Linked DNA regions of Rattus norvegicus. The protein of the gene in region 1 purifies or fractionates together with the protein of each later gene. This does not show direct contact. Links are inferred from orthologs where the notes say so. Each region holds a gene or a part of one and is shown on either strand. Other genes may lie near its edges. The genes, in order: Cebpa and Mrto4.

Region 1 (15,058 bases):
AAACGGCCAATAGAGCAGAGCACTTAAAATTACAGGCTTCATACTTCAAGCTCAGCTCTTTCCCACATCGTCAGAAACTCTAACAGGTGTGTGGCTCTCACTTCTTCTTTTACACATATGTTTATGAACTTAGTAGGGTTTTTTTTTTTTTCCTACAGGTTTTTGGTGGTGGTGGTATGTTGGCACACAGTTTCTCTACGTAGTCCTGGCTGTCCTGGGACTCATTATGTAGTCGGGGATCTCCTTGAGCTCATAGAGAAACCCCTGCTCTTGTTTCCCAAGTACTGGGATTAAAGGTGTGTGCCGCCACGCCTGGCTTGACTGTTTTTTCTTTTCCTGCTACATGAATGATTGAATTTTGGCCTTATGCATACATGCTAGACAAATACTTTACCACTGAGCTAAATAAACCCCCAAGCCTTCACTGGTGATTCTAGGCAGATGTTCTACCACTGAGCCACACCCCCCGCCCCTCACTGGGGGATTCTAGGCAGGGGTTCTACCACTGAGCCCTGCTCCAGCTCTACAGTTCTGCTCCATTCACAGCCCTGTGTTTACCTTTTCTTCTGAGACAAAGTTTCACTCAGTTGTGCCAGCAAGCCTTAGGTTTGTAATCCTCCTCCCTCTTAACCTCTCCAGTAGCTGGGATGACAGGTCTATGCCACTAGGCTTAGCTGAAAAATACCCACCCCATTTATGTTTTCTTAGCTAAGTGGAGGCAGCAGGCAGTCCCACAATGAGCTGAAGGATTCCTTCCATCACCATTTCAAGCATGGAGACCTTTAAAGTCTGCCCCTTCGAGTTTGTAAAGTGACCGTGCATTGCCACAGACCCTAGACCTGTGACGCTGGCTTCCTCTAGGGGAGAATGAGTATGAGGCAACATGTGTGACACCAAGTAGCGCATGGTGTACAATCTCCTTTCCTCACAGCCTCAATGCCACGTGTGGAGGACATTTACTCAGTGTTGAGGGGCTTAGTCTTGAAGGAGTAGGGTCTACTCATAAGATCAAATGCTTACATTGGGGCTATCACCTTCCAGCTCTTGATTCTGTACCAAGTTTGGCCTCTTGCCTTGCTCAGATTTGTTGAATGTACCAAGGGTACACGCCCTTGGAATCAGCAGGAAGATAGGATAGGGTTGGGATAGTGAGGTCAGAGGAGCGAGGCCATGCTCAGCAGGCTGGCCTGGCCAATCTGCAGGCTGCAGCAACCCCTTCCTACCACATGAACCTGCAGGGAAGCAGACCTGTGCCCCCAGGGAGCTAAGACCCAGCCATGCCCAGGTTCTATGTCTGGCCCAGTGTCCTTACAGATCAGACACACAATAGAGCCAGGGTAGCTTCAGGGCCCAGCTCTAGGGACCTTCACTGGCAAAGACTCTTGTCCTGCCTGGATTTCCCCCAAGAACATAGGCTCTTTCTCCTCCTTCCAAGACACTTTTTTGTTCAGCCAAGCCTCTGGGGATCACATATGCTTGGGGGTGGGGGATGGGGTGGGCTCTCTTTCCAGTTAGCCATAGGCACTGCTTCGTGCAGTCTGGCATTTTGGGAAGTGCTTCAAGGGGTTCTGAATTGGGTCTGCTTTGGGGAACAGAGGTTAGCCCATGGGTGACAGTCCTCTCAGGCTGGGTTCTAGGAGGGAGTCTGGGTAGCTGCTTTCTTCCACATAGTTCATTCTGTGTTCATTTAACAAGTATTTGAGGTGCTCCTCTCAGCCAAGGCCTGTTCTAGTCGGGGGGTGGGGGGTACGCAGAACAGGACAGAAAAGGTCCCTGCCTTTTGTGGAGCTGGGACATGTAAAATGAGTAAACAAGACCATTCTCTGAGTGAGCTACGAGGAAAATAAAACGGTGTGGTGGCCCAAGAGCCATAGGGGGAGGGTATGGCTTACACCTTTCTGAGAAGGTGGCACTCAGGGTGACCAGAAGGAAGGAGCTGTGCCAACCTAGGAAGAACACTTCAGGGAACCAGAAGAACCAAGCGCAGCCCCCCAGAGGCCAGGCACGCTTGTGTGAGGGGAGGCAATGGGGAATTAGTGCTGCATTCATCCAGAACCTTCCTTCCTCATATACAAGGTGTTAAAGAGGGTTTATGTCGCCGAAGTGTGCTGTTTTGAAGATGCTGGGCCTCTCTTGTTGGAGAGAGGAGAAGACAAGCAGGCCAAGAGGAACAAAACTGTTAGTGGCTGCGTAGAGGCTCAGTAAGGGGGAGGGGTGGCCTGCAAGCATGTAATATGTGAAGGAGGGATTAACTGGGGGTGCATGTGCTACGTTGCAGGGATGAACGTAGGGTCTCTCACGTGCTCGGCATGGTGCTGCCACCGAGCTGTACCCGAGGCTCTGGTTTTACTTCTCACTTTGAGACAGGGTCGTACTAAGTCACCCAGTCTGACCTTGAACGTACATCCACTCTAAGCAGCTGGAATTCAAGGCCTGCACTACCTGGCTCTCACATATGGGTTTCCTGCCCACTGCTCTGCCTCCCAACTGGATCCGGGATATCCACATAGATGGGGTCATTGCTCCTCTGCTTGTGCTGACTAGCTGCTGGCCAGCCCAGGGCATGGTGACTGTGCCTGGCATATGTCTGGCCACACACACGCAGCCTCAAGCACAAGGGTTTCCACAGTAGCTGGCCCATCATGCTCTCTGGTGGGGATCCCCTTATGCTCCTCTTGGACTTGGGAGTTACTTGCCCCAAAGCTTAGAGCCAGTTATCTAGACTCCCATGGGCCTCTTTACCAGGCGGTAGCCTGTGTGTACATCCCCAGGACCAAGCAGACAAAACACAGGCAGCATTTCGACCCTGTGCTGCAAAGCAATGGCCTGACCTAGGACCTAAAGACCGGCATCGAGGGCTCTAAGACAGGGGAGAGAAGGGCTTCCCTGGCATATATCTATATATCTTTATATCTATATGTGTGTGCACATATATGTGGGTATATGTGTGTGTTAGTGTGTGTGTGTGTGTGTGTGTGTGTGTGTGTGTGTGTGTGTGTGAAGAGAAAAAGGGGAGGATGGAGGAAAAGAGAGTGAGAGGGGAAGAAGGAGAGGGAGACAAGGTCTCACTGTGTGGCCCTGACTGGTGTGAAATTCTCTTTGTAGACCAGGCTTGCTCAAACTCACAGAAATCCACCTGTCTCTGCCTATCAAATGGATTAAACATGTGTCCCATACATCCCCATCACTTTTTCTAAAGCTAAATTCTAAGTCAAAATCTGGTCTTCCAGAGTATTCTGAAATTTGTCTTCTGCTTGTTTTGCTGTACTGGGGATGGAAATACTGTACAAGACTCTACTGCAGAGCCATGCCCTCAACCTTTTATGAATGAAGTCAAGGCAGGAGCTCTACCACAGAGCCACACACCTAACACCTCACTGAGAGTTTCTAGGTAGGGGCTCTACCACTGAGCCATGCCCCCAGTCCCTCACTGGGATTCTAGGCAGGGGCTCTACCACTGAGCCACACCCCAGCACCTCACTGGGGGATTCTAGGCAGGGGCTCTACCACTGAGCCATACCCCAGCACCTCACTGGGGGATTCTAGGCAGGGGCTCTATCACTGAGCCACACCCCAGCACCTCACTGGGGGATTCTAGGCAGGGGCTCTACCACTGAGTCACACCCCAGCACCTCACTGGGGGATTCTGGTTGAGCACTACCACTTAAACTATATCCCCAGCTTTGAAGTAAATATTATTTAAGACAGGAAATCTAGAATATATTTTATCTGTTTCTTGATTTTGCACATTTTTGAAGGACGGTGTTTGGGTTTGGTTGATCTCTCTTTTGTCTGGTCTATCTTTCTTTCTCTCTCTCTCTTTCTTTCTTCTCTTTCTTTCTTTCTCTCTTTCTTTCATCTTTCTTCTTTCTTCCTAGCTGGCCTGAAACTCACTACGAAGCCTCAACTGCTCTTGAACTCTCAGTGAGATTACAGAACCTGTGATTCTCCTGCCTTAGCCTTCCAGTGTTTAGACTATGGCCATGCATTCATTTAATACCAAATTAATTATTTAGTGTTATTTATTAAATACAAAATTGCTGGCTCAGTGGTAATTTGGTGTTTAATAAAACATGAAGTGGGGAGTTGCAATTTGTATCATTGTTCTCGGCCCCTTAGGCATATGGAGAAGACACGCCCATGTTCAGGTTTTGCTTTAGTGGGTGCCTCTTTGCTGGATGGCGGTTCTGGGGTTCGCCAAGCAGTTTTTATACCAAAAATGCCATAAAGGACATCTCCCAATTTGCTAAATAAAACTAAGTGCAGTTTGGTTTGATTTTTTCTTCTAGAATCTCTGCTTTTGCTTATCTGCGAATAGCATCCAGCAAGTGGGAAACAATACAAACAACAAAGGAATCACACATGAGTCACACTCGGTGAATAGGAGAAAACTGGGGGAGCTGATTCTTAGGAACTCAGGATATATACATACATACATATACACACACACACATATATACATATATATCACATACTTTTGGTTATGATCATACTGGCATCCACAGCTACATTTCCCAACAGGCAAGTCACTTCTGGAGTGTGTTCGGTAGAGAACGATGCCACACAACGTTGCCTAAACCAGACTGAGAACCCCAGCGTGAGTACCACACCAGGCATCCTATAATTGCACTGAAGTGAGTTTCCGGCAAAAACGGAACCCCAACAGTGTACACGACTAGATAGTGCAAGAACAGTTCGAGACGGTCTTATTTACCAGTATTGACAACTGGCCCAGATCTGAGCTCAGCATATACGTTCCCTAATCCTTCCACCAGCCCTACAATGGATTACTGAGGAACTCAGAACTTGTCTAAGGTCATCTGGCTAGTAAATGATGAGGCAGGTATTTTAATGGGCCTTTGGCATCCCTCACTTGCTCAGGGCCTCCTGATAAGATGTGTAATCTACTGGGTGATCCAGGAGCTTCTCCAATAACTAATAAACTGAAAAGAAACACTCTACCCATCAGGCCAGTGAGTCCCCTATGCTCCTTGCTTCAGGGGCTTGGAGGAAGACATATATGTCACAAGATGTCATCTCCAGCCAGGAGTCTCGCATCTTGTTTAGATAGGTCCTAGGTTGCCTCTGTAGCCTCTCCTGGCAGAGGGAGTGGGTTGAAACAAGTCCTTTCAGTGTGGCCTAGACTGTCACTGAACCTGTAGTCTTCCTGTTGAGGCTCCAGGTATGTACCACCACACCCCTTTGTGGACCCCATGTTTCTCACCTAGCCAAAAGCTCCTCTCCTTTCTACCTGGAGTAGGCTCTCAGAAACCCGGACAGGGAAAAAAAAAAAAAAAAACCTCCCAGACCAGCCACAAGAGGATAAATGCTCTGAGAGATAAAGCCGGTTTGCTTACCTGGGATGGCCTTGGCCATCAACCCAACCCTGTCTGTGGATCCAGCCTTATCTAGGCCCCTCCCTAACTCTCCCCACACTCCAGCCTGTCAAACACCCTTGTCCTTTGTTACCAGAACAGGCCATGCTCCCGGCAGCCTCTCCACCTTTGCACCTGCTGTTCCCTCCTCCAAGGGGGTGGGGGTGGGGGGACGCTTTTCTTCCTTATCCTTCCAGAGAGTTCCTGCCTACTTCAGGAAATAGCTCAAAGTCTCACGCCTGCATGAAACCCTCTCCCATGGCCTGTTTCAGTCGGCCGCAGTGGGATTTCACTGAGTTGTGTAAAGGTACATATTTGACCCTCACTCAGGAGACTGGAAATCAGAGTCAGTGAATCCGGCAATCAGAGGCTGCCTTCTCCAGAGCCCAGGGTTCCTTGGGGCTGGGTGTGAATACAGCCTTAATGACGTTCCCACCTCTAATTCAAGAGACCATTTCATGGGCGATGGCTCCCCCCCTCCTTTGGTGTCCCCCTCTCTATGATGACAGTTTTCCTACCCTCTGACTGTATATGACATATCTGTCCCTCTACCTGTGTCACATACAGGGACACTTCTCATGCTCCCCTGGGTTTTTGGAGCAGTAAAAAGGACTCTGTCAGCTACTCCGGACCTGCAGGCTTTGGGGCAGGAGTCCCAGTCCCCGCCCCTCACCTCACACACTTATCCCACCCTTTTTCGTTTGGCGACTATATTGTGCTCTGGCTTCCCGCAACCCTAAGTCCCTGTGCTTGCATAAGCGAGGACAACTAAAGCCATCAGACTTCCACTAATGTCTCTCTTAGCTAGGAACTTTCTCACAGTGTTCCCTTTCCCCTCAGGGGAAAAACAAACAAACAAACAAACAAACAAGCATTATATTTAGCTCAGTAGAAAGACTGAAGATCCTTCTCGGCTTTTAAGGATTTCTCTCCAGGGGACACTCCAGGTGCATGGTGTATTAATGGGTCGCGTGCATCTGGCCCAGAGAGCGATCCCCCGCTCATACCAGGTTGTTTATTTAGTGTATCTGCTTTCTATTCGCTCTGTTCAAAAGCATCAAGCTAAAAATATCTTGTTTATGCGCTCTGGACCGAAAATGAAGCAGTCGGGCCATTAATCACTGAGAATATGTTGAATGAGAATTTGATTAAAGTACAGGATGCGTCCTCCAGACGAAGTCGGTTCTTTATACTGTAAACCACAGTGGAAGCACAGCAGACCTCCCCAACAGTTTTTAGCCGCTCCTCTTTGAGCCTCCTGGGCGGATCGTAGCGCCTTTCCTGACCTAAAATGGCCATTGCACTGGGGGGTCTTGACCTTGCGCACCCTAGTGTCGCAGGAAGACCCCCAGCAGCTTGGAACGAGGACAAATGGAGTTCGAGAGGACGTAAGGCCTCAATTCAAGAAGCCGCCAAAGGGTCTTCGGGGTGCAAAAACGAGAGACGTGGGTGCTCACCAGGCCCCTTCTGTCCCGGACCTCCGCGGCCGAGATCCAGGTGGAGAATGAACTGGACGCCACGTGGCTGGGGAGCCGATGCTCGCAAACTCCTACCCTCAGCCGCGAGCCTGTAGGCGGCGCGGTGCGGAGGATCCCAAGGACTGGACAGGGGGCTCCCAGTGGGTGCTCGAAAGGCTCGGTAGCCAAGAGCTGGACACCCGAGCTACCGAGATTAGTTCCCCTCTGAATGACAGTAGGGAAAGAAAACTGTGACTTCAGGCCCCTGACTATGGGCCCCGCCTGGGGATCACGATCCCCGATTCAAATTCACTTCTCTCACTCCAACACCCTGCCCTCTCCCCGCCCCTGCGCGGTCTCCTTAGTGTCTTGTTCCGCGAGTCCCGGAGGACCCACCCGCTGGTCCCGGCGTGTGTGTGTGTGTGTGTGTGTGTGTGTGTGTGTGTGTGTGTGTGTGTGTGTGTGTGTGGTGGGGGGGGGGTCCGGAACATTTGACTAGAAGCTCCACGCAGGGTAGCAGCGTCCGCCTCATAAGCCTAGCAATCCTATCGCGCTGGCCTGGAGACATAATTAAAAAGAAAGTTTTCCAGCCTAGGCGGGTGGACCAGCCAGGTCCACTAGGCTCCGGGTTTAGCGGCCGCCTCCGCTCCCCGCCGGGTCCTAGCGCCCTACTACTCTGAAGAACCCGTGGGACCCTGGAGTTCTAAAGAGGCTGGGCGAAAGAGAGGTGCTCTGCTTGGAAGTAGTGGGGTCGCCTGGAGTTCAGAGATAAAGACGCACAATCTCAGCACTCTGGGCCTCGCCTTTCGGCAGTGCGCGCTAGGTTGCTGGTCCAAAGCAGTCCCTAACGTCCTTGCGCCGCGGCTCTCCGCCACAGCTTTTTAAAAATCCGGGTGGGAGACAGGCCTAGTCCCAGCTTTTAAGACAAGTCTGCACCACGGTAGCTCAAGACTAACATCCTCTCTCCAAACGCCCCCCAACCTTCACCTCCCCTTGCTCGGCCTCTGGATGCTCCCCGGCTCCCTAGGGTTGGCTGGAAGTGGGTGACTTAGAGGCTTAAAGGAGGGGCGCCTAACCACGGACCACGTGTGTGCGGGGGCGACAGCGCCGCCGGGGTGGGGCTGAGCGCCGCAAGCCGGGTTCGCCTAGCAGCGCAGGAGTCAGTGGGCGTTGCGCCACGATCTCTCTCCACTAGCACTGTGCTCCCGCCCCACTCACCGCCTTGGAAAGTCACAAGAGAAGGCAGGCTCTAAGACCCAGCAGGCACCATCCGGCAGGCGCCCTCCGCCCAAGACCCGCTTGGACACCAGGGGGCGATGCCCGACCCTCTATAAAAGCGGTCCCCGCGCGGGCCTGGCCATTCGCGACCCAAAGCTGCGCGGGCGCGGGCGAGTTGGGGTACTGGGTGGGCGGCGGCGACAGCGGCGCCACGCGCAGGCTGGAGGCCGCCGAGGCTCGCCATGCCGGGAGAACTCTAACTCCCCCATGGAGTCGGCCGACTTCTACGAGGCGGAGCCGCGGCCCCCGATGAGCAGCCACCTCCAGAGCCCCCCGCACGCGCCCAGCAACGCCGCCTTTGGCTTTCCCCGGGGCGCGGGCCCCGCGCCGCCCCCAGCCCCACCTGCCGCCCCGGAGCCGCTGGGCGGCATCTGCGAGCACGAGACGTCTATAGACATCAGCGCCTACATCGACCCGGCCGCCTTCAACGACGAGTTCCTGGCCGACCTCTTCCAGCACAGCCGGCAGCAGGAGAAGGCCAAGGCGGCGGCGGGCCCCGCGGGTGGCGGCGGTGACTTTGACTACCCGGGCGCCCCGGCGGGCCCCGGCGGTGCGGTCATGTCCGCGGGGGCGCACGGACCCCCTCCCGGCTACGGCTGTGCGGCGGCCGGCTACCTGGACGGCAGGCTGGAGCCCCTGTACGAGCGCGTCGGGGCGCCCGCGCTGCGGCCGCTGGTGATCAAGCAGGAGCCCCGCGAGGAGGACGAGGCGAAGCAGCTGGCGCTGGCCGGCCTCTTCCCCTATCAGCCCCCGCCGCCGCCGCCGCCACCGCACCCGCACGCGTCTCCCGCGCACTTGGCCGCCCCTCACTTGCAGTTCCAGATCGCACACTGCGGCCAGACCACCATGCACCTGCAGCCTGGCCACCCTACGCCGCCGCCGACGCCCGTGCCCAGCCCTCATCCCGCGCCTGCAATGGGTGCTGCGGGCCTGCCGGGCCCCGGGGGCTCGCTCAAGGGCTTGGCTGGTCCGCACCCCGACCTCCGCACCGGCGGCGGCGGCGGCGGCGGGGCCGGCGCGGGCAAGGCCAAGAAGTCGGTGGATAAGAACAGCAACGAGTACCGGGTACGGCGGGAACGCAACAACATCGCGGTGCGCAAGAGCCGAGATAAAGCCAAACAGCGCAACGTGGAGACGCAGCAGAAGGTGTTGGAGTTGACCAGTGACAATGACCGCCTGCGCAAGCGGGTGGAACAGCTGAGCCGTGAACTGGACACGCTGCGGGGTATCTTCCGCCAGCTGCCTGAGAGCTCCTTGGTCAAGGCCATGGGCAACTGCGCGTGAGGCGCGCGGCTGCGGGACCGCCTTGAGCCGGCCCCCTGGCTGGGGACCCGGAGGATGGTTTAGGGTCGCTGGATCTCTAGGCTGCCCGGACCGTGCAAGCCAGGACTAGGAGATTCTGGTGTCGCCTGAAAGCCTGGCCTGCTCCGCGTGTCCCCTCCCTTCCTCTGAGCCGGACTCGGTGCGTCTAAGATGAGAGGGAGTCAGGCCGTGGTGGTTTCTCCTTTAGACCGAGAGACTTCTCCGCGGAGCTGAGCTGGGAGCCCGGCAGTTTTAGTATTAAGGAAGTAACCTTGTGCCTTGGATACTCAAAACTCGCTCCTTTTCCTACCGAGTAGGGGGAGCAAACATGTGCCTTGATATTTTATTTGGAGGATTCCTGCTTCCTCCAGAGCTGCAGCAGGCCCCCATGAGAAAAATGAAGGGTGCAGGCCCAGGGCAGGAGGAAGATTCAGGAAGCTGAGGTCCCAGCAGTCCCTGAGCTGCCCCTCCGTCCCTGTCCTTAGAGGGGAGGGACTTAGGGAGTTGGGGATTTGAGTCTTAAAAGTGTCCCCACCCCTAGTTACATGGAGATGGAGGGTTCTTAGCCCCTTGCTTTTCGCTCCTCCATCTACATTCCTCCCCCCACCCCCAGCTTACAACAGGCCAGGTTTCCTTGGTGAGTTCGTGGAGAAGGGGGCAACACCCCCAGTCAGACCAGAAGGCTGAGTTGTGAACTGGCCATGTGGTTAAGCAAGTGGTAGAAGACAGGGACCTTAGTTTCTGGTCTTGGGGTGGAGGATGAAGACACTGGGACCATCCGCCTTGTGTGTACTGTATGTCGCCAGCCGCTGTTGCTGAAGGAACTTGAAGCATAATCGATCCATCCCAGAGGGACTGGAGTTATGACAAGCTTCCCAAATATTTTGCTTTATCATCTGATATCAACACTTGTATCTGGTCTCTGTGTCCCAGCGGTGCCTTGTGCAATGTCAGTGTGCGCGTCTATGCTAAACCACCATTTTATTTGGTCTTTTGTTTTGTTTTGGTTTTGCTCTGATTCTTGCCAAAATGAGACTCTTCACGAACGGCCAGGGGAAGGGGCTGAGTGAGGCTCTCATTCTTTTTGGTTTAGGGATGTTTGGTTTTTTTGTTTTGTTTTGTTTTGTTTTGTTTTCTTTCGCCTCCCAGAGGACCAATGAAATGAAGTGGGCTTCTCCCTCTCCCCTAGTTTTCCAAGGGTGTATGTAGTTGTGGGTCTTAGCTTCCTTCCTCCGGCTGAGACTTATACTGGCTTCCCCACCCACCCACCCCCATCCCCAAAGGCCCTGGCTCTGGGTCTGGAAAGAAGGCCACCTCCAGCCAATTTGTACACAACCCTGCCACTGGAAGCAGGGGTGGACTGCTTCCTTCTCTTCTTTTTTTGGGGGGAGGGGACACAAAGTTTCATGCTAGATGTCCTATGTATTATATCTATAATATAAACATATCAAACTCAATTTTGGTGTCTTTTTAAAACCAGAGAGAAGCCACTTGTAAGGTTTGCTCTGGGCTGGGTTCCACTTGAAAACAGCATTTTCTGTGTCTGAGGTCCTCCGTTTGCATATGTGGAGTCTCTCTTTACCTGGGTGATGTGCCACGGCAGTCAAGGGATAAGGACTCTAGGCTGAGAACACCGGGAGCCTAAAGACCAAGTCCTCTGGAACTCGGGGGTGGAGGGGTAGTGTTGTCTTAGGGTTGTGGTCTCTCTCTCTCTGCATCCTAGAACAAGAGGGAGCTGGAAGAACACCTCTGCTTGACAGGAGCCCTCTTAGAACCTCTCAGCTGCGGGGACCCTTTGGCTTCATTCCCAAATCACTCAGCTGCAGCCCTAGAGAGCAAGAACCACACCACCTTTGCCCAGCCTTCCAGTGGAGCCCTGCAAAACAGGACTCTTCACCCCTTACTGCCCACTTCCCAGGCTCCAGTGCCACCCAGGGCAGCAGCTTGGGTGCTGAGCCCCCTTTGCACCTGCCTTACCTTAGCCTACCTAGATTCATCTGCCCCACTTTCTCCATCCTGGCAAATGGGATTGGCTTCTAATGATTCCATGTCCACTGCTACAACTGCCCCATGAGATGCAGACATGGAGTTGGCTGTGGTAACAAGCCGGTAAGGAAAGGGTGGCCGTCCTCGCCATCCTTGTGGAGCCCAGAGGCCACTGGGCTCTTCACCTGGACTGTGATAGCTGAGCAGCTTACAGTATATATACTGGTGAGAAATGACAAGTTCTTTTAAATTCCGCAAACTTTAGTGTGACCAGCCTTTGTGGTTAAGTTGTCCCACCAACCCCTTACCCCTCCTCCCTCTCTGCCCTGTGCCTTGCCACCTCCTCACCCATAGCTGCCCTTGGCAGAGGAAAGGCCAAAGCCCAGTGAGGAGGCGGTGGCCTGCCCCGTCAGCCTGGGAACTAGGGAGGCAGAGCCCCACCGCCTGCCTAGAGGCTGGGGCAGGCCGTGGCTTGCAGGCCCCAGCAAACCCTCTGAGTTCAGTGTGGATTCCAGTTTTTCTTGTTTACAGGGAATGATCCTTGAATTCCCCCTTTGCTCTGAGAACAGGTCCTTGGCTGATCGGGGGAGGGGGCCCTCCTGCTCTCCTTTTCCTAGCACCTGACATGGGGGTGATCTTCTCTCCAGGGGCTCATGGAAGGGGCACCCTTCCTGCACACCCAACCCAAGTTTCCTCATAGGCCGAATTGGGAACAAGAAGGGCCCAATCAGGGACGCCTCCGGTGTGGTCTGTGTTGGGGGTGTGGGTGCAGTTTAGGGTGGCCCTGTCCAGTTTGTGCTCTATCTCTAGTTGGGAGTGGCCTTCCAGGGAATTCATGCTTCGTGAGTAACTGAACGTACTCCTCAATATTCATTGAATGCCTTCTTATCCAGGGCCTGTGCCCAGGATTAAGGCACCACTGAGAACAGACTAAGGTCTTGCATTTGAGGAGCTGACAACCCTTTGGTCCCCAAGCCATGTCATCGTGTCAGGGTAACAAATGCACTAAGGGGCTTTTCCTGATGTGGAAACAGCAGCCTAAGAAAGCCCGGTGTCTAGTGAGGCCAGCACACCCCCCCCCCCCCCATGGACTCCGTCCTCAAATGCCTGCAAACTTCCGCCAGGCATGAGCCCTTCCCAGGACACGGCCTGGCTGGGGAGACCACTTCTTTCTTTGGAATACTCCTGAGCCCTGTGTCCCCTGGCAGCCTCAGGAGAGAAACAAGGGCGGGAGTGAGAGAGGGAGGTGACTCTTTTGCCACCAGATAGCTTAATGCTGTCAAGGATGTCACCCTTATCTCTTGGATCTCCTGGTAATCTGTGAACATGGGGTTTGGCCCTGACACCTGCCATGAGCCACTGGGAAGGGTGAGGAGTGTCCACCCCTCCCAGGCTTCCCGCCCCCTCCTTCCCAGCCCAGGTGGAACCTGCCTGGCCTCCACAAGCTGCAGATTTCACAAGAGGGGAGGGGGCCCCTCATCTTGAAGGTCAGGGGGAATAGAAACTCTGATCTTCCTTAACCAAGGGGCAACTTCTTCCAGGGCGCCCACCAGCTTTCTGCAGGCATGAAGTATTGTTCTTGCCTGGATGGCACTAATGCTTTAGTTGCTGCTTTGCTGTGCTGGTAGATAAAGGAAGCCCTTTTCTCTCTCTTTTTTTTTTCTCCCATCGCATGCCCTTTTCTTCCTCCCCCTTCCCCTCCCCCTCCTTCCCCTAACCCGCAGTCTCTTCCTTGCTTCTATAATGCCACCTTTTCTTTCTCAACCCCACCCCTCCCCACTCTTATCTCCCCCACCCCCACCCCCACCCCCCACCTCGCTCCCCGTGGATGGAACCCTTAACGAAAGCTGTAACCTAGGGAAGAAACCAATTCACTATCAAAGCATCCTAGCCCCATCCCAGAACAATTAAACAGCCAGATGGAATCTCTGGGAAAACGCATTAATAACGCGAACAATCTGTGTAGACCAGGCAGGAGCCCAGGAGCCTGGAGCAGGGGTGGGGTTTGGGGGTGGTAGTGGGCAGAGGAAGGCGGGGGACGCTGGGATGTATGCTTCCAACCCCATTTTGCCCATGTGGTGCCCAGAGAGGCACAGGACCATCCCAAGGGTATGCTAAGTCTGCCAGCAGCTGCGCCGTCCCCTCTGGCCCTCGCAAGGCCCACTGTACGCCCTGGATCCTGGTGGCTGCAAACAGAGCCAGACAAATGTGGAACCCATTACTCAGCCAGCCACAGCCACCGCCAGCCCCTTTCTGGCACCCGAACCCTTCTCTTCTCTTCACTTTTGTCTTTATTTATTATTTTTCTAGCTTTCTGGCCCCACCCATTAAGAGCAGGCCTCCCCGGGTGTACGGAGGCCTTCTTCTCTTCCTTTGCTGTGCCCACATCCACTCCCCGTGTGGACACGGAAGAGCTGAAACTGGAGCTCCCCACGGAAATGAAAAGTCCAGGGTCCACATTGTTCAGCTGCCTTGGGAAAGGGGCTGGGCGTGAACCACAGGACCCGCTTCTGTCGTTTCCGAGTCTGGTCTAGGTAGAGCTATGAAGTTCAACTCTTCCTTAGCAGTTCCTCTTTTGGTGACTACTGTTGGCAGCGACCCACGAAGTACACCGAGAAAGAAAAAAGCTCCCCCTCTCCCCGCACCCCTCTCCTCTCTGTGCTGGGAATTAAACGTAGAGCCGCTTGCAAACTACGCAAGTGCTGTGCTACTGAGCTACAACCCGGCCTCAGTCATCATCCATCCTGTAAGTCTGAACCAGGGTCTCCTTAGGTAGTAGCTCAAGCTGGGCTGGAACTTGTAATCTCCCTGCCTCTTAGCCTTTTCTGTGCCCAGGATGGCCAAGCAAGCTGCACCTTACCTGGAAAAGGTGGTGTTTTCTTTTAGCTATCAGGTTGGGTAGAAATTTACTTTTTAACAAGTGCTTGCCTGGCATGAGGACCTGAGTTTGGTTGGTCAGAACCAACATTTTCAAAAGAAAAAAAAAAAAAAAAAAAAAAGGAAAGAAAGGCAGAAAGGGGGAGGGGACAGGCTGTGGAAGCAGAGAGAGGTGGATTGGCTAGCTCACCTCGACTGTTTTTTTTTTAATTTTTTAAATTTATTTTATGTATATGAGTATATTGTCTGTCTTCAGACACACCAGAAGAAGGCATCGGATCCCATTACAGATGGTTGTGAGCCACCATGTGGCTGCTGGGAATTGAACTCAGGACCTCTGGAAGAGCAGTCAGGGCTCTTAGCCACGGAGCCACCTCTCCAGCCCCCTCACTTAGACTGTTTTGAGAGTTCCAAGCCAGTAGAAGACATGCACTCCCCCCCCTCGCTTCTTCCTCCTCCCACCTCTTTCTGCACCTGAGGAGCAATGCCAGAGGTTACATACTGCCCTCTCCCTCCATGCATCCTGCACACATGCACCTGAGTACACACGCACACATAGTCATACAGAGAGAGAGTGCAAAAGAGAGGCAGGGAGAGGAGAGGCAACACAGCATTGTTTGATTCCTACAGACGAAGAGAGCTCTTTTCTGACCTTTGTCTTCACTGTCTCTTGGTCTCCATCCTCCACCCTTACCCTCCCTCAAGGTCACCACTAGTTCTTAGAACTCCTCTGGGTCCTTGCTTGGCGTCTTGCTGACCTTGTCTCCAGCAGACATCCAGTAT
Region 2 (15,104 bases), on another chromosome or scaffold:
TTGTAGTAAAAGGTGGTTGTAAGGAGTAGGCCCTGGAAGTGAACCCAGGTCCTCTCCAAGAGCAGGAACTGCTCCTAGTTGCTGAGCCGTTTTGCAGCCCTAATGATCTCAATTGGTGGAGAGGCTGGTTTAAGTTCCAAAGGTATACATGGTAGGAAATAAGCACAGATCTGACTCTGAAAAGTACATTTTAAAAAGTATTGGGGCTGGGGATTTAGCTCAGTGGTAGAGCGCTTACCTAGGAAGCGCAAGGCCCTGGGTTTGGTCCCCAGCTCCGAAAAAAAGAACCAAAAAAAAAAAAAAAGTATTTATTATGGCCCTTCCTGGAAAGAGAACTCAGGTCTGTGTCCCTGGGCTGGGACATGGGGTGGAATCTCTTCCTGCTGTCCCAGCTTCCTCTCCCTGACCCCTTTCTCCAGTGTGGACATTCTTGGGGTAATGGTGCTCTTTCAATATCTGGTAAATGCCAGGCCTGGAGAAAAATGATTCCCAAACTGTCCTGCAGGGTAGAGAAGACTAGATGACCTTGCTGTTTGGAGACAATAGTTTTCTCTTAGCAGCAACACGGCCTTAAGTAAAAACAGATCTTAGCAAGGAACAGGCAGGAAGCCATCAGGTGGCGGAAGTATGGTGAAAGTAGGTTCTTTCTTGCAGGGCACCCAAGGGGATGCAGTCATTCTGGGCATGTCCAGTCTGGAACAACTGGAGCAGAACTTGGCCTTGGTCGAGGAAGGGCCTCTGGAGCCAGCTGTTGTGGATGCCTTTGACCAAGCCTGGAACCTAGTTGCCCACGAGTGTCCCAACTATTTCCGCTAAGATACATCTGCCTTGGGGAGGCGCAGCTTACTGCCTGCCCCGCCTTGTCCTGGGCTCGATCTGATCTGGTTCTTTCCTTTTTAGACAGGTCACTGTCTTTCTCTTCCCTGCTTTCTATACAGCCAGTTGCTTTCAAAGTGAGAGCTGGCTGAGCCCCAATACCTCCTGCTGAATAAAACTGTTCCCTGTCACAGCCTGGGCTACAACTGACCTAGTGGCCTTATTCTCTTGAATGCCTGAGGCTTGCGTCAATGCTCCTTCCCAGGGTCCAGAGGAAGTGGGAAGGAGTGCCTGATCTTTAGAGGGCAGTGGTCCAGTGCTTTCCTTAAAACCTGCCAGGTTCAATCTGGCACCAGCTGCGTGCTTTCCTCCTGACCATGGAGTCCCACAGCAGTGGACAGCGGCTAGGTGCTCTCTGCCCCAACTAAAGTCTCACTTACCTGATTACACAGGTTGAAGGTTATAATTTCCACAACCATCCTGGGTGCAAAGCATAGGCAACAAGAAACTGAAAGTACCCCCCACCCCCAGCTCAACATAGCATAGCAGGAGGCAAGAATGGAGGTCAAAGTAAAGAACAGATCCGGAGGAGGGCATTGAGTACTAAGCAACATTTTAATTGATTTGGCAGCAAGTGCTTCGGTCTGCTGAAACATGTCACTTGTCTTTCTTACTTTCCCCTTTGAGACAATGTATCTGTGTGTAGCCCTGGCTGTCCTGAATTCTGCCTCCCAAGTGCTGGTATTAAAGGTGTGAGCCACCACCACCCTGGCCTTTTCTTTTTAAGACAAAATGCCATATACTCTAGGCTGGCCTTGAACTCCTATCAGGTCTCTTGTCTCTAGCTTTCAATTTCTGGTGCATACAACCAAGCCTGCCCTTTTTTTTTTCCTATAATGATTTATTTATTATATATAAGAACACTACAGCTGTCTTCAGACACACCAGAAAAGGGCATCAGATCCCATTACAGATGGTTGTGAGCCACCATGTGGTTGCTGGGAATTGAACTCAGGACCTCTGGAAGAGCAGTCGGTGCTCTTAACCACTGAGCCATCTCTCCAGCCCCAAGCCTGCCTTTTTTCAGCCTTATAGTTGATTGGTATCAAACTTTTTTTGAGATAGGCTTTATTTAGCCATGAGTGGCCTCCAATTCAGAGATTGGCCTCCCTCTGCCTGGCTTGGCCTCAAACTTTCAATCCTACCTCAGCCTCCTGAGGTGCTGGCATTCCAAGCATTATCATATTGGCTTGCCCTGGGTTTTTTGGGCATGATTATGAAGACCCAAGGCCCATCTTATTCAGTGTTGCTGTTTAACCCCCACATCCCTCCTCTAGGGTAGAGGTCAGGAACTCTGAGGATTTTCTGACCCACAGGTCCAACAACTTTCCTCAGTTTCTGTGTGCTGCCAGGGAGGGACCTGCTGGCCTTAAGCATGGTTTATGATGCCTTACCACTGACTCGCACAGCACACAGCTACTAATCACTACTAGTCAGCCAAGTGTGGTAGCACTTGAGGGGCAGAGGCCAGAAACTACTGTAAGATCAAGACCAGTCTGTGCTTCAGTGAGAACCTGACTCAAACTCCACTTGCTCCCAATCCCCTCCACCGCCCTGTGGCAAGCCTGTGTTCCTCATATTTTACCCCCGGCTTGCACGTATCTGTGTGCTTATTTATGTTTTAAGTGATCAAGCTTCCAGAGAATTAACTTTCCTCAGCAAACCCACTGCAAGCAAACGGACAAAGACACCCAAATCCAGGCGTGCTCTCAGCCATCTGCAGTGCTGGCCCACCCAGCCCTAGCCCGACTAGGCTGGAGCACAGCCGAAGGCCTTTATAAAGAGTCTCTGCTGTCTACAGGGAGCACCCTGCAGACAAAATTTTATTCTCTATAGAAACAAAGTCACTGCCCAGCACCTCCCTTGTCTTTATCCATAGCAAAAAAACCAGCCGCTCCCTCTAGGGGGCGACAGCAGTCCTGGGGGCGTCCAGTGGAGATGAAGTACTTGCTGGAAGGCCTTGGTTCTGGTTCCCAGAGTCAGCTGTCGTCCTCCTCCTCCTCAGACTCCCCCTCAGACTCAGGCGCGCTCTCGGGAAGGTCATCGTCCATCTGCTGGAATCTCCCTGACTGGGCATCCCACATGTATTTGATGGTCACTTTGAATTCGGCCATCTCATACCCAAACAGCTTCTGTAAGGGGTGGAGGAAGGGGAGTGAGCAGGAGCAGCTGTCAGCAGCAGAGGGCTGTGCCCAGCAGCTGAGTGGCAGCGGCCCCTCCCCCAGGTCGCAGGCCCAGACTCACCAGGACACGGGCCTGCTCTGGGGTCAGCACGTCACCCTCCTTGCACACTTCATAGTCAGACAGCAAGGTCACCACACCTGTGGGAGGGCAGCACCATGTCACCCCCAGCCTTAGGAAGCATGCAGCCCTCTTCCCTGAGGGACAGTGGCAGCCTCCTCCCTGCAGGAGGCGAGTGCTCAGCTCTGCCTTCACAGGACAAACTGTGTCTATCGGAGCTGGTCTAGGGGAGCGTCTGGGGCAGGGGTCCCCGAGCTGCAATTCATCTGTGCAGGTGCTGCTTTGCCTGCACGAGTGCCTATGGCATCACATGAATACCTGGTGCCTGTGGGGGCCTGACGTGGGTCCTGGGAAGCAGCCAGTGCTCTGAACCCTAAGCACCTCCCAGCTTCCTACCTTTCTTGAGGGCAGTGGGCAGACCCAGCTGCCTCAGCTGTGGCTCCATGGAATGAGGGAACTGTTTCAGCGGCCCTGGATCCAGGCTCACAGTTAAAGTTGCTTTGTTCCCCGCTCGAGCAAAATCCATTTCTGTATACTTTGTGAACCACCTAAGTTAGAGAAGGGTGAGGGTAAAGTTCCTGGAAACGCCACCATTCAGCTGAAGTCCAACCTCCTTTGAGTGGCATGGTCTGAGGCTTGCTGTCCGTAGCCATGTTGGCAGGCAGAGGGGAGGACCAGGACAGAGAGAATACCACAACCCCGGTTAGGTTACAGAGTAGTTTCAGTAAGAGCCTTGTATCTCTTCAGCTTTCCCTGACTCTCAGCCTCTTCCTCCCTCAGAGACACTCACTCATTCACCTCCTCCTTCGTGCGGTTGGTAAAAAGGAGCCCAACTTCACCTCTCAACTTCTTGCTGACCTGAAAAACACAAGTGAACACCACTGCTTCTTCACCAGGGGCAACTTACCTATAGAAATCACCTGGATCACCTAAAAACACTTCTCGTTGGCAGAACTCCTAGTAAGTAGGGCAGGCTATAGAAGGCATAGCCCCATGGGTCTGGAGATTAAGAACACAGAGTTGGGCCGAGTTTGGTTCTCCTGAACCCACAGGCCAGTCCCACAGCTGAAAAGAGCAGGAGAGGCAGTGGCTGCCGCAGGGAGGGCCAGTGACCTACCTGATGTAGGTTGTCTTTGTATTCATCAGACGGGCTTCGACCCAAGGCCACCATCATCACCTTGTTTTTGCCAAAGAACATCCTACCATGAAGAAGGAGGATGTGAGCCAACGCTGTGTGGCCAGAGGCCCTGTTCTCCATGTAACCCAGCCATGTGTTCCCAGGATTCCTGTTTTCATTTTTTTTTCCGGAGCTGGGGACCGAACCCAGGGCCTTGCGCTTCCTAGGTAAGCGCTCTACCACTGAGCTAAATCCCCAGCCCTGTTTTCATTTTCTTATCCACAGAATCAGATCTTGCCAACAGTTTGACAGCTCACTCCGAGCCTCAAAAGTCACTTATCTGTGTCTGCCTGTGGGCAGGAGTGTGTCCAACAATCCCTACTAGAGTGGTACAGCAAGACAGTGACCCCAGAGCCACCCGCACATGTACTGTAACCCATCAGCCCCTGGGGCCTGCTTTGGGGTCAGATGTACATGATGATACTCTACTCGAGTGTGCCAGACACCAGGGGCCACTTTCCTGAAACACAGAGTGACCAACAAATCCTGTCCCAGCAGCTCAGGGAAAGGCCAACTCTAACGGAAGCCGTGCCCCTTAGGGGAGCTGCAGACACCAAGGTCAGCCTGCTCCAGTGCTCTGATGAGAGCAGCTCTCGCCTCTTCCCACTGTGCTCACCGGCTGTGCTTCCAGGCATTCCGGATGTCCTTCAGCTTGCTGTTCCTCATGTTGGCCACAGAGAAGATGAAGAGGTACTTGTAGGTGTCCACGCATTTCCGAAGCTGTGGGACAATTCATGAGGCTCTGGAGCTGAGGCGCAGCACGGGCTGGGCAACTCTGGCCTCACACAAGAGAAGCGGTCATAGGCCTTTAAGCTTCCACTGGCGTGACTGACACCAGTGTTACTTACTATGGAAGGTGAGCAGGGACCCAAACCCTGTGGTCTTTCCATGACCAATGTGGAACAATCACCCTTTTTCCTTAGTCCATTTAGTTGATCTAGAAACTTCTACCCGCACTGGGAAAGCCCCTGCTAAATCAGAACATAAGGAGCCTCATCTTATCAACAGGAGAGACACTCCATCCTCATGGTCTTGGCCAGGCTTCTGGCTGAAGCCTCCCTGTGGTAAAGCTCCATTTCCAAAGAACAGGAATCTGTGCACTTGGAGACTGCTCTTACCTGGCCCAGACCCAGCAGCTCAGGGGCAGACAGAGGCTACAGTCACCCCTGGGTCACGTCCAGCCTTCTAACACTGGGTAGCTTTACAAACTCACTGACAAGCTTTAGTAACCCCGAGCTTTTGTAAAACATCAATAGCATCACCTAGTCCTGGGTCTCAGGGATACTGTGGGAGGTGTGGAAACTCTGACACTGCTAACAGTCCAATCCCAACTCTGCTACCCAAACACATAGGAGGGGGCGGGGTGGGGTGGGAGGAGCAAGCACTTACCTCTTCTATCAGGTTCTGCTTCAGTTCCAAGCCTTTCTTGGCAGTTTTTGTTAAGGAAACTAAAACCAAGAAAAAGAGACAGCAGCGAGTGATGTCTTGACGCTCTGGAGACTAATTCTGCTTCTCTCTTCCGGGCTTGGCTAAACTAAGCAAGTGTGACGGAGGCAGCAATGGACACTGTCATTCCTGGCATTCAAGGTTGACAGAGTTTGCTTACCTAGCATTCTTGGACCCAGAGATCCCTATATACATCCCTACCACAAAAGAAGTTCCTTGGGCCAACGGCTGGGTCTACTGCTTTATGGCAATAGGGCTCATTGCTGCTGATAGAGCACTGTGAGTGGGGGCCCTAACCTGGCTGAGGGATCAGACTCACCACCTTAGTTAAGGCCCTTTCCTGCCACAGGGATGGTGCACAGGCCATTGATGGCTAGGGTGGGCTATGGTATGATAGAGAACAATTCTTCCTTTTATAAAAAACCAGGATCTTGTTACAAGACTGTTTAGGCTGGCCTTGAACTCAAGATATAAATTCTTGCTTTTGCTTCCTAAGGGGTGGGATTACAGGCACGTACTATGTCATCCTGTTGGGACCTTATCTTTTCTATTCTATTCTAGACCTACACTTCAATTTCGTAATCTGGACCCAGGAATACAGTAACGCTGGGGATGGGGTAGATGGACCGCACAAGAACCTCTACTGAAAAGTAACCAAGGTCCTACAAGCCACAACAGTTAGAAACAAGGCTATCAGGAAGTTTTTGGATGGCATCTATGTGTCTGAGAAGGGAACCGAGCAGGTTGATGAGTGAGACCTCAGTTTACTAGCTCCAGAAACATGGTGCTTATCCCAAATACAATCTGGGCTTTTTGGAGACAATAAAGAACTTATATATTGAAAAAAAAGAAAAGTAATCCAGGTCCTATTTGTCCTACTTCCAAGAGTTACTGGCATTTGCTTACATCTAACTAGGGCTCCCCAAAATCCTAATGACTCTCTAAGGACTCACTAAAACATCAGCTGTAACACGCTCTGGATATTCCCAGGAGGTGATATGGCCTTTCATCAACCCTGCCTGCCACTCACCGTCTATACAAGGCACACAGTCAAAGGCAATCACAATGAGCCAGTCATTCCCCAGACTCTCCACACCTAGGATTCTGGTACAACTTAGCATACTCCAGGTGGTCACTGGCTTTGCTGTCCTCATAATTCTCCGGACTATCAAGGCAGCCAAAGGGATCCTTTCAAAGCAAAGCCACATCAAAGGCCAGATCTCTTCCTCTCAAACCTACTTTACTACAGCCACACTGGCCTCTTGTCCCACAATAAGTTAACCACACTACAGACCCCTTTCATTCTGTGTTTCCCTCTATTCAAAACGACCTACTCGTTTGTCATCTAGGTGCTGAGACTTTTCCTGACAGCATTATGCAAAACAGTATCACCTTCTCCATACACCACTTTGACTACCTGACACATTCTTACTTGACTGGGATATAGGTATAGGAGACAAACAAACACACACCCTACTAAGGTGGTTAGTCTGATGAAGCCAGACCCTTTTTGTTCAACCGTCTTGCCTTCTAACATCCACAAAAGCGCCAGCCCGCTAGCTGGATGTAGTGGCTCAGTCTGGAATGCTAGTGTTTGGGGCCAAGGCAGACCAGATAGAGAGTTCAAGGCCCCAGCATTAAGAACAAGCAAAAAAAAAAAAAATGCAGTAGTCGAAACTGTAAAACCTCTACATTCTGGAGAATTCTTGGTCTACACACCAAATCTGAGCTACATTGCAAGATCCTCAAACACACACCGAGGCGCGCACATGCCAGGGGATGTAGCTCAGGGCTCGGCGGGTAATGCTTGCCTAGTAAGAGTTTACTGCGTCCCATCCCTAACTCAACATAACTAGGCTTAGTGATGCATGCCTGTAATTCCAGCAATCCGGAGGTAGAAGCAGCAGGATCAGGAGTTTAAGACTATCCTCGTTGGCGAGCTCGACCCTGGGATATAAGACTGTTTCAGGAGCTGCTTGTCGGCCCGTACCAGTTTCCAGCTCTCTCGGTGACCTGCCGACGCCAACTCGCTAACCCAGCCGGTCGAGCTCCTCAGAGAGGCCTCGGCGTCTCACCCGTCGCCACCCACGACGCAGGTCCCCCGAACCTACCTTTCTTGTCTCGCTTGGATTTGGGCATCGCGCTAAAGGCACGTGCGGCGGAAGACCCGGCGGCCCGTCAGGACCCGGGTGCCGCAGAGGCTTGTGGGGCGGCGCTCGGGGCTGCCTCTCTCGTGTGCCTGACCCGAAGTGTGGTGGGCCCTCTCTTCCCTGCCTGCGTTCTGCCTAGGGCCTGGAAGGCCACTTCTCTGCCCAGGTTCCAGAGCCTTCCAGTCCCTTCGGCCCCCCTGATCGCCGCGGCTTCCGAATCCGGAACACTTCACCAAGGCCCTCGCGAACCGGTTCCTCTCTATGGCTCTCCGGAGGGAGGGGCTTGAGGCCTGGTGCATGCCGGGCTGGCGGCGGGCGGTGCTTGGGCTTCAATCATGGCGGCGGCTGTGGAGTCCTGGTTCTGCCTCTGTGCTGTGCTACTTGTCCCTGCGGCCGCAGTCTACGAAGACCAAGTGGGCAAGTTTGACTGGTGCGTACGGGTGACGCTTCTCCTGGAAGTTGGTGTTTGCTTTCTCAGCATCTGTCTCCCTCCTGCTAACCTGAAGGAGAATTGCCATGGAGCTGGACCGAGCATATAACTTACAGGGGATGGGGCAGGTGTGCTTTAAGGGAGAAGTGAATGAATGAATGTTGCACCCTGCGCAGAATGAAAACGAGAGCGTCCCTTCTTCAGATATGAGGAGTTTGCCGACGTCAACCCAAGAGCATTATGTTAAGCACGGAAGGAACTCTTTTAAGCCTCCTTGTTTATGACTGTGCAGATTGCACCGTAGTGGAGGGAGCCCTGCCATCTAGGCACCCTTTAAGGGCTTTGGTCAGAGGTCACTAGTTCCCTCCTTTCCTGTCACGTCCGATTTCGTGGCTGTCAGGTTTGTGATCTCCTGGGTTCGAGGTCACTGGCCCACAAGTGAACTTTCATCCTCCTAGAACTAGCTGGTGTCACTTAGACCAGGTTCTAAAGTGAGCCTTTTTCTCTGAGGGACTCTCCGGGCGCATTGTGGCCTCTCCCTCTCCAAATTTATCGGCCTGACATTCGTTCACTCACCCCCCTCCCTTCAGACCGTGCTTATTTCAGATTGAATAAGTATTTACCCACGTCGGTTGTATGGTCCTGGGGAAATTGACAGACAACTAACAATAGTTTTTGGGGTTTTTTTTGTTGTTTTATTTTGTTTTAAAAAGGTGTTCATTTTGGGTTCTGGTCCCAACAGTCATTAGTCTTTCTGGACTTCGGTGGCTCACAACCATCTGTAATGGGATTGGATGTCCTTTTCTGGTGTGTCTGAAGACATCGACAGTGTACTCACATACATAAAATAAATAAATCTTGAAAAAAAAAAAAACCCCAGAAGCTCCTTTAAAACAAACTAAACAACACAGTGGTGTAAATGAGAGATGCAGTCTAAATGCCAGGCTTGCTTGGTGTGCCTCACAGAGCAGTATTTTCTCATTGCAGCAGTGTGCTGGCACTTATGCCCCTGGAAGTCTATTTGTTACAGCTAAAAATTAATTAGGCCATGGACTCTTTGGGGGTGTTGCTTGAGGACGTAGGTGTTACATTTAGCTGTAAGACTGTTATTATCTGTCATGTACTTGGTTCCAATTCTCTCCTATCTTCTTTTGCTTCTGAGTACATTGCACGGAAGTCTTGTATGCTTGAAGCTTTTCATTAGCACACATTTCTTGCATGTGATGAGGGAGATGTGGTGGTGTGAACCAGCCACTGTCTTTGGGCCCTGATGTTCCCCTGGACTGGTCCTCAGGAGACAGCAGTACGTTGGGAAGCTCAAGTTTGCCTCCTTGGAGTTCTCCCCTGGATCCAAGAAGTTGGTTGTGGCCACAGAGAAGAATGTGATTGCAGCATTGAATTCTCGGACTGGAGAGATTTGTGAGTGAACTCTGGAGGCTGGAGGCTTCAGGGAGGGATGCTGACTGGGTGAATCCGAGTGACCCATGGCTTCTCTAGTCTTGTCATCTTTCAATATGTATGTCTGTGGTATTAGCCTTTGTAATTCATTCCCTCAACTGTGAAGGTCCTTAAGATAATACTGCAAAAGCTACATTCTCTCCTGTTTTGTAGTAAAGGCTTAAATGACTACTCTTGAGTTATCCCTGGGATTGTTAGTGAAAAGAGAACTTATAGACTGTTTTCTTATGAAATTGGGTGGATTTTGTTACTCTTATTGTTGCTCCTTCATGTATTTGATGGGGTAGTAGTGGGCTGGAGGGGCAGAGACCCCAGATGGAGGAAAGCATTGTCTCTTGAGCCCCTTCTTCTCCTCCTCCTCCTCCTCCTCCCCCCTTACTGTCCAGTGAGTGGGTCTAGGTTATAGCAGTTAGTGGTACTCCTTGTTTCCTAATTAAAGTTAGATAATGCTGTGCAGATGAAGGTCTCAGTCCCTTCCTGGTCTTGTTGGGTCACAGTCACTCATAGCAATGTCTGACTTTCTTATCTCTCAGTGTGGCGCCATGTTGACAAGGGTACAGCAGAAGGGGCTGTGGATGCCATGCTGGTCCATGGGCAAGGTAAGCGGAGCCCTCCTGGTCTCCATTGTGGCCTCAGCCCCATCTCCCATTTCTTGGTTCTTAGAATGGGTCTGATGGGGAAGGGAGGAGAGCTGCGTCTGACAGTGAAAGAAACAAAGGACCCGATTAACAATGTCTGTGTACATCCATGAGCTGGAGGCAGGGTCATGGCTCAGCCCTTGTGAGCCAACTGAGGAAGTTTCCAATATGGCAGTGGTCTTTCTGTCTTCCAGATGCAATCACTGTATCCAATGGAGGGCGCATCATGCGTTCTTGGGAGACTAACATCGGGGGCCTGAACTGGGAGATAACTCTGGACAGTGGCAGGTAGGGAAGAAGTGGTGCTTCATGGTGGCTGAGTGAAGGGACCTGGATAGGTAACAACTCTGGGCCATTGAGTTTTTTTTTAAAAAATTCCCTCAGGGATCACTGAAGAGACATAGATGCCCATCCTTTAAAGTTTTTTTTCTTATGTATATGGGTGTTTTGGCCACTTGTATATCCATGGTCCACATGAGTCCAGTATCTTTGGAGGCCAGAAGGGTGTTGAATTTAGGCACACTGGAAGATTGGCCATCCCCTCCCCGCATTGAGGCAGAGTCTATCTAGCTCTGGCTATCCTGGAAATACTTAGGTCAGCCTGGCTTTGAACTCAAAGAGATCCCTCTGCCTTTACTTCCCAAGTGTGTGCCACCACACCTGCCTCAGATGCCCACTCCTGATTTGCTTGCTGTAGCCCATGCGTGTTTATTCACTGAGCAAGTGAGATTGTGGAAAGAGAATCTATAAATGATCTCCTGTGAATTAAGATTTTGCTAATTGGTCACCTGTTAGGTGCACAGCTCTGTCCTAGACACAGTCAGTGTCTATTCTGTTCCTGAACACTGTTGAATCTTAACAGAACATACGGGCTTTGTATGCCGTGTTCCGGGTAGAAGGACACAATACAAGCTTTCCATGTTTCTGAATGTTTGTGCTGAGACAGATCTCATGTAGCCCAGGCTACCCTCAAAGTAGCTACATAGACTGACTTTGGACTTGAATTAGTTTTAGTTGTTATCATCATGTGTGTGTATCTTGGGGTGATGTGTTGTGGGAAGGACAGCGTGCATGCCATGTGAGGTAGAGGTTAGTGAACAACTCTGGAGCCAGTTTTCTCTTTCTACCTTTTTGTCGGTTCTGGGGATTGAACTTGGGTTGTCAGCCTTGCTCAGCCAGTGCCTTTCTTTACCTGCCAAGCCATCTTGACAGTCCTGGCCTTCACCTTCTGACACTCCTGCTTCTACCTTGCAAGGTCTGGGATGGCAGAACCGTACCAACATACTTGAAACACCATATTTTAGTTCTCTGTCAGAAAACAGCGTGGCCTGCTGCCTCACCTTTGCTGAGATTAATTGTGGGTTCGCTGGCCTCTGCTTAGGTATCTTATAGTAGCAGTTCAGTGGATTAACATTTGGTGGACCACAGGGGATGAGAACACTCTAAATCTGAGACAGCTCTGTCATCAGGCTCATGCCTAGTCGTGACCATGGTTCTAAGCTTTCAGTGATAGCCTTGCCTGATGGGGGCATGCTAGAGGGTTAGCTGGGAGAGGAAGATGTGATCTGAAGGAGATTTGGGGGATGGAGAGCAGTGCACCTAAGTGGTTGCAAGGCAGATTCTCAGGTTGGCAGAGCCAGGATTCGGCGAACCGGTACTGGGATCCAGGTATATTTGTTTTCTGACTTAGCAAATGTCAGCGAGCAGCACCAGAGGCAGCAGTGGGGCAGCCATTCCAGCTGCAATCCTCACCACACCTGTGCTCAGTTTCCAGGCACTCGGGCTGGTGGGCCTCCAGGAGACAGTGAGGTACGTTGCGGTTCTGAAGAAGACGACCCTCACTCTCCATCACCTCTCTAGTGGGCACCTGAAGTGGGTGGAGCATCTGCCAGAAAGGTAAGGCTCTCTCCTCCCAAGTGATGACCTCTAATGCTCTGTCTCCTTGAGGGTGCTTGGCCAAGTGCCCTTCCGTTGGCACTGCGTGGGAGTGGTATGCTTGTGCACATGGGTCCGAGTGGAAAGGCTTGGCTACACACTTGGAGTGTACTTGGAAGGGTGAAGAAGTTTCAAACTGGGGCACTAGAGCTGCCACATGAGGGGGCTGCTCCTGCGCAAGTGCACAGGGCTCTGGGCCTTTCTGCAGCTTTTTAACAGTAGTCTGATACTGTCTTCACGGTAAGGGTTCCCACTGCGGGGAGGGGCTGAGGGAGGCTCCAAGTGGTTTCCAGTGGTCTTGGGAGTTAGAAGCATGAAAACGAGGGTGGGTAGAGGTCAGGCAGGCGTTGGCTTCAGCCACTTGTAATCGTTTCCCAAAGATTTTCAGAAGTGAAATTGCTAAAGTTAGGCTGGAGGTAGGCTTGGCAGCAGAGCCTGCCTGGCATGCACAGGGCCCTGCACCCTGCATTTGGCTCTTTTTTTTTTCCTTTTAGGTTTTCTGAGACAGGGTTTCTCTGTGTGTCTCTGGCTATCACTAGAACTCACTCTGTAGACCAGGCTGGCCTCCCAACTTACAGAGATCTGCTTGCCTCTGTCTCCCAAGTGCTAGGATTAAAGAACCATAGTTGCTTGGCCTTTGTTTGGTTCTTAGCCTTACTAAAAATGGGTCAAATCCCTAGGTGAGCATGGTGGTGTGCATCACACACACATAGACAGACAGACATACATACAGACACACACACACAGACACGCACCCCCCTAACTCTAGAGGGAAGCCAAGATGTGAGGATAACAAGTTCAAGGCCATCTTGGGCTATAAAGTGAGAGCTTTGTTTGTTTGCTTTTTTAAAGATTTATTTATTTTATTTATATGCGTACACTGTCACTGTCTTCAGACACACCAGAAGAGGGCACCAGATCCCATTACAGATGGTTGTGAGCTACCATGTGGTTGCTGGGAATTGAACTCAGAACCTCTGGAAGAGAGACAGTGCTCTTAACCACTGAACCATCTCTCCAGCCCTGTTTGCTTGTTTTTCAAGAAAGAAAAACAAACTAAAAGCCAGAAAACAAAAAAACCCAAATACCCAAAAGTCAGTATTCTAGAGAACTAAGTAAAACATCCATGAGTCTGGCTTACCTGATGGGGTGGGCCTACTTCCACAGCCTTACTCAGCCATCTGGTGTGCGCCCCACATACAAGTAGGCATGTCACATCTGTCACTTAGGAAAAGCTGGCAGTCTGGTTTATATATGTGATAGCAATTTGAGCATGTTGATGAGAAATTCAAATTAAAGACAAAAGCAAGACTAGAGGCAGGGCTGGACAGGGGGCAGGGCCAGGTAGTGGGGTGGGGCTGGGTAGTGGGGCTCCTGCCTAGCATTTGTGAGGCTCTGGGTTTGATCCCTCACACTGCAAACAGTAACAGCAAAGAATCCAAAAGCAAAGGCTGTGTGAGCCAAACAACTCCAGTTGGGGCTTTTCAGTTAGTGACAGCTCACTCAGAAATGGCAGCTTGATTTTGAAAGCCCCTGGGAAAGCTCAGGTCTAAGGGCTCAGCTGGTGGTCTTGTCCTCTCTTCCCTCCCTTAGTGACAGCATCCTCTACCAGATGGTGTATTCCTACGGCTCCGGGGTGGTGTGGGCCCTTGGCATCGTTCCCTTCAGCCATGTGAACATCGTCAAGTTTAACGTGGAGGATGGAGAGATTGTTCAGCAGGTACAGAAGGCACCTGGCTCCTTGTGGGTGGTAAGGAGTTGATGGAGGCCGCCTTTTCACGGGGGTCCAAGGAACTTGGCAGGGCAGTTGCAAGAGCAGCTTGTGTTCCTGATGCCCGTCTGTTGCTGCTGGCTACGGGATGCTGGCTTGTCCTCAGCGTGCGATTAAGGCACTTTGTTAACACACAGTGCTCTTTTGGGCTGGCTGAAGAGCTACTCAGACCTAGGCACTGTCTCTTTAAGAGTTTCTAAGGGAGCTATGAAAGGATGGGAGTACAGCCTGGAAGAACCCCTGTGACCCTCAGGCTCACTGTGTAGGCCAGGCTGGCTGGCTTCAAACTCACAGATTCCTGGACCTCTGCCTCCGAGTGCTGGGATTAAAGGTGTGCCACCATGCTTGGCCAGGCATGCATTTTGAGCTTGAGCTGGCGGGATTCCAGCAGTTATTCTGCTGATTTGCTGAGAGGGACCATGGTGATCTTCATGAGTGTTGTAAAATCTCTCCTCAGGTCAGGGTTTGGACCCCCTGGCTGCAGCACCTGACTGGAGCCTGTGGTGTTGTAGACGAGGCTGTCCTGGTATGCCCAGACCCCAGCTCACATTCGCTCCACACTTTGGCCCTGGAGACGGAGTGGGAACTGCGGCAGATCCCCCTGCAGGTGAGAGGCTGCTCTTTTGGTCTGAGATGTCACCTGCTGTAGGGTGGAGGAGGACTGGCAGGATTGCTTAGGGACAAGCAGTGTTTCCCTGTGAGGTTGCTCATGCTTTCCTGAGCTGTGACAGGCATGGGGAGAGGGTTAGCTCTGGCTGACCTGTTGTCAGAGGCTACAAGCCATGGTCTCTTTTGGGGACCTTGAATAGGGGCTTCTGGAGCCATCTGCCCTAGTTTAGAACTGCTCCCTGGCAAAGCAGGGCAGACAACCATGGTCTTGATGGTGTGGGAGGGGTAAGCTTCTCACCCTTCTTCTTGTTTCCCTAGTCTCCTGACTTAGAATTTGGAAGTGGATTCCAGCCCCAAGTGCTGCCCACGCAGC

The links.
Region 2: the proteins of Cebpa (region 1) and Mrto4 purify together in Homo sapiens (affinity purification with mass spectrometry; 3 studies listed by BioGRID and IntAct, with this or other methods). This does not show direct contact. The link is inferred for Rattus norvegicus from reciprocal best matches to the Homo sapiens genes CEBPA and MRTO4.

Annotation. Positions count from the first base shown.
Region 1 is NC_086019.1:96,888,388-96,903,445, forward strand, and holds Cebpa (CCAAT/enhancer-binding protein alpha), read left to right. Parts: upstream 1-8,196; 5' UTR 8,197-8,206; coding exon of another isoform or gene 8,207-8,317; coding exon 8,318-9,394; 3' UTR 9,395-10,869; downstream 10,870-15,058. UniProt on the Homo sapiens protein: Transcription factor that coordinates proliferation arrest and the differentiation of myeloid progenitors, adipocytes, hepatocytes, and cells of the lung and the placenta.
Region 2 is NC_086023.1:156,883,573-156,898,676, forward strand, and holds Mrto4 (mRNA turnover protein 4 homolog), read right to left. Parts: upstream 8,167-15,104; 5' UTR 7,880-8,166; coding exon 7,852-7,879; intron 5,743-7,851; coding exon 5,684-5,742; intron 5,142-5,683; exon of another isoform or gene 5,015-5,141; coding exon 4,911-5,014; intron 4,317-4,910; coding exon 4,235-4,316; intron 3,976-4,234; coding exon 3,908-3,975; intron 3,666-3,907; coding exon 3,514-3,665; intron 3,198-3,513; coding exon 3,121-3,197; intron 3,009-3,120; coding exon 2,856-3,008; 3' UTR 1,413-2,855; downstream 1-1,412. Other genes in the region: Akr7a3 (aflatoxin B1 aldehyde reductase member 3), read left to right, coding at 655-816; Emc1 (ER membrane protein complex subunit 1 precursor), read left to right, coding at 8,226-8,320, 9,615-9,739, 10,312-10,377, 10,611-10,704, 12,184-12,312, 13,945-14,071, 14,580-14,729, 15,050-15,104. UniProt on the Homo sapiens protein: Component of the ribosome assembly machinery. Nuclear paralog of the ribosomal protein P0, it binds pre-60S subunits at an early stage of assembly in the nucleolus, and is replaced by P0 in cytoplasmic pre-60S subunits and mature 80S ribosomes.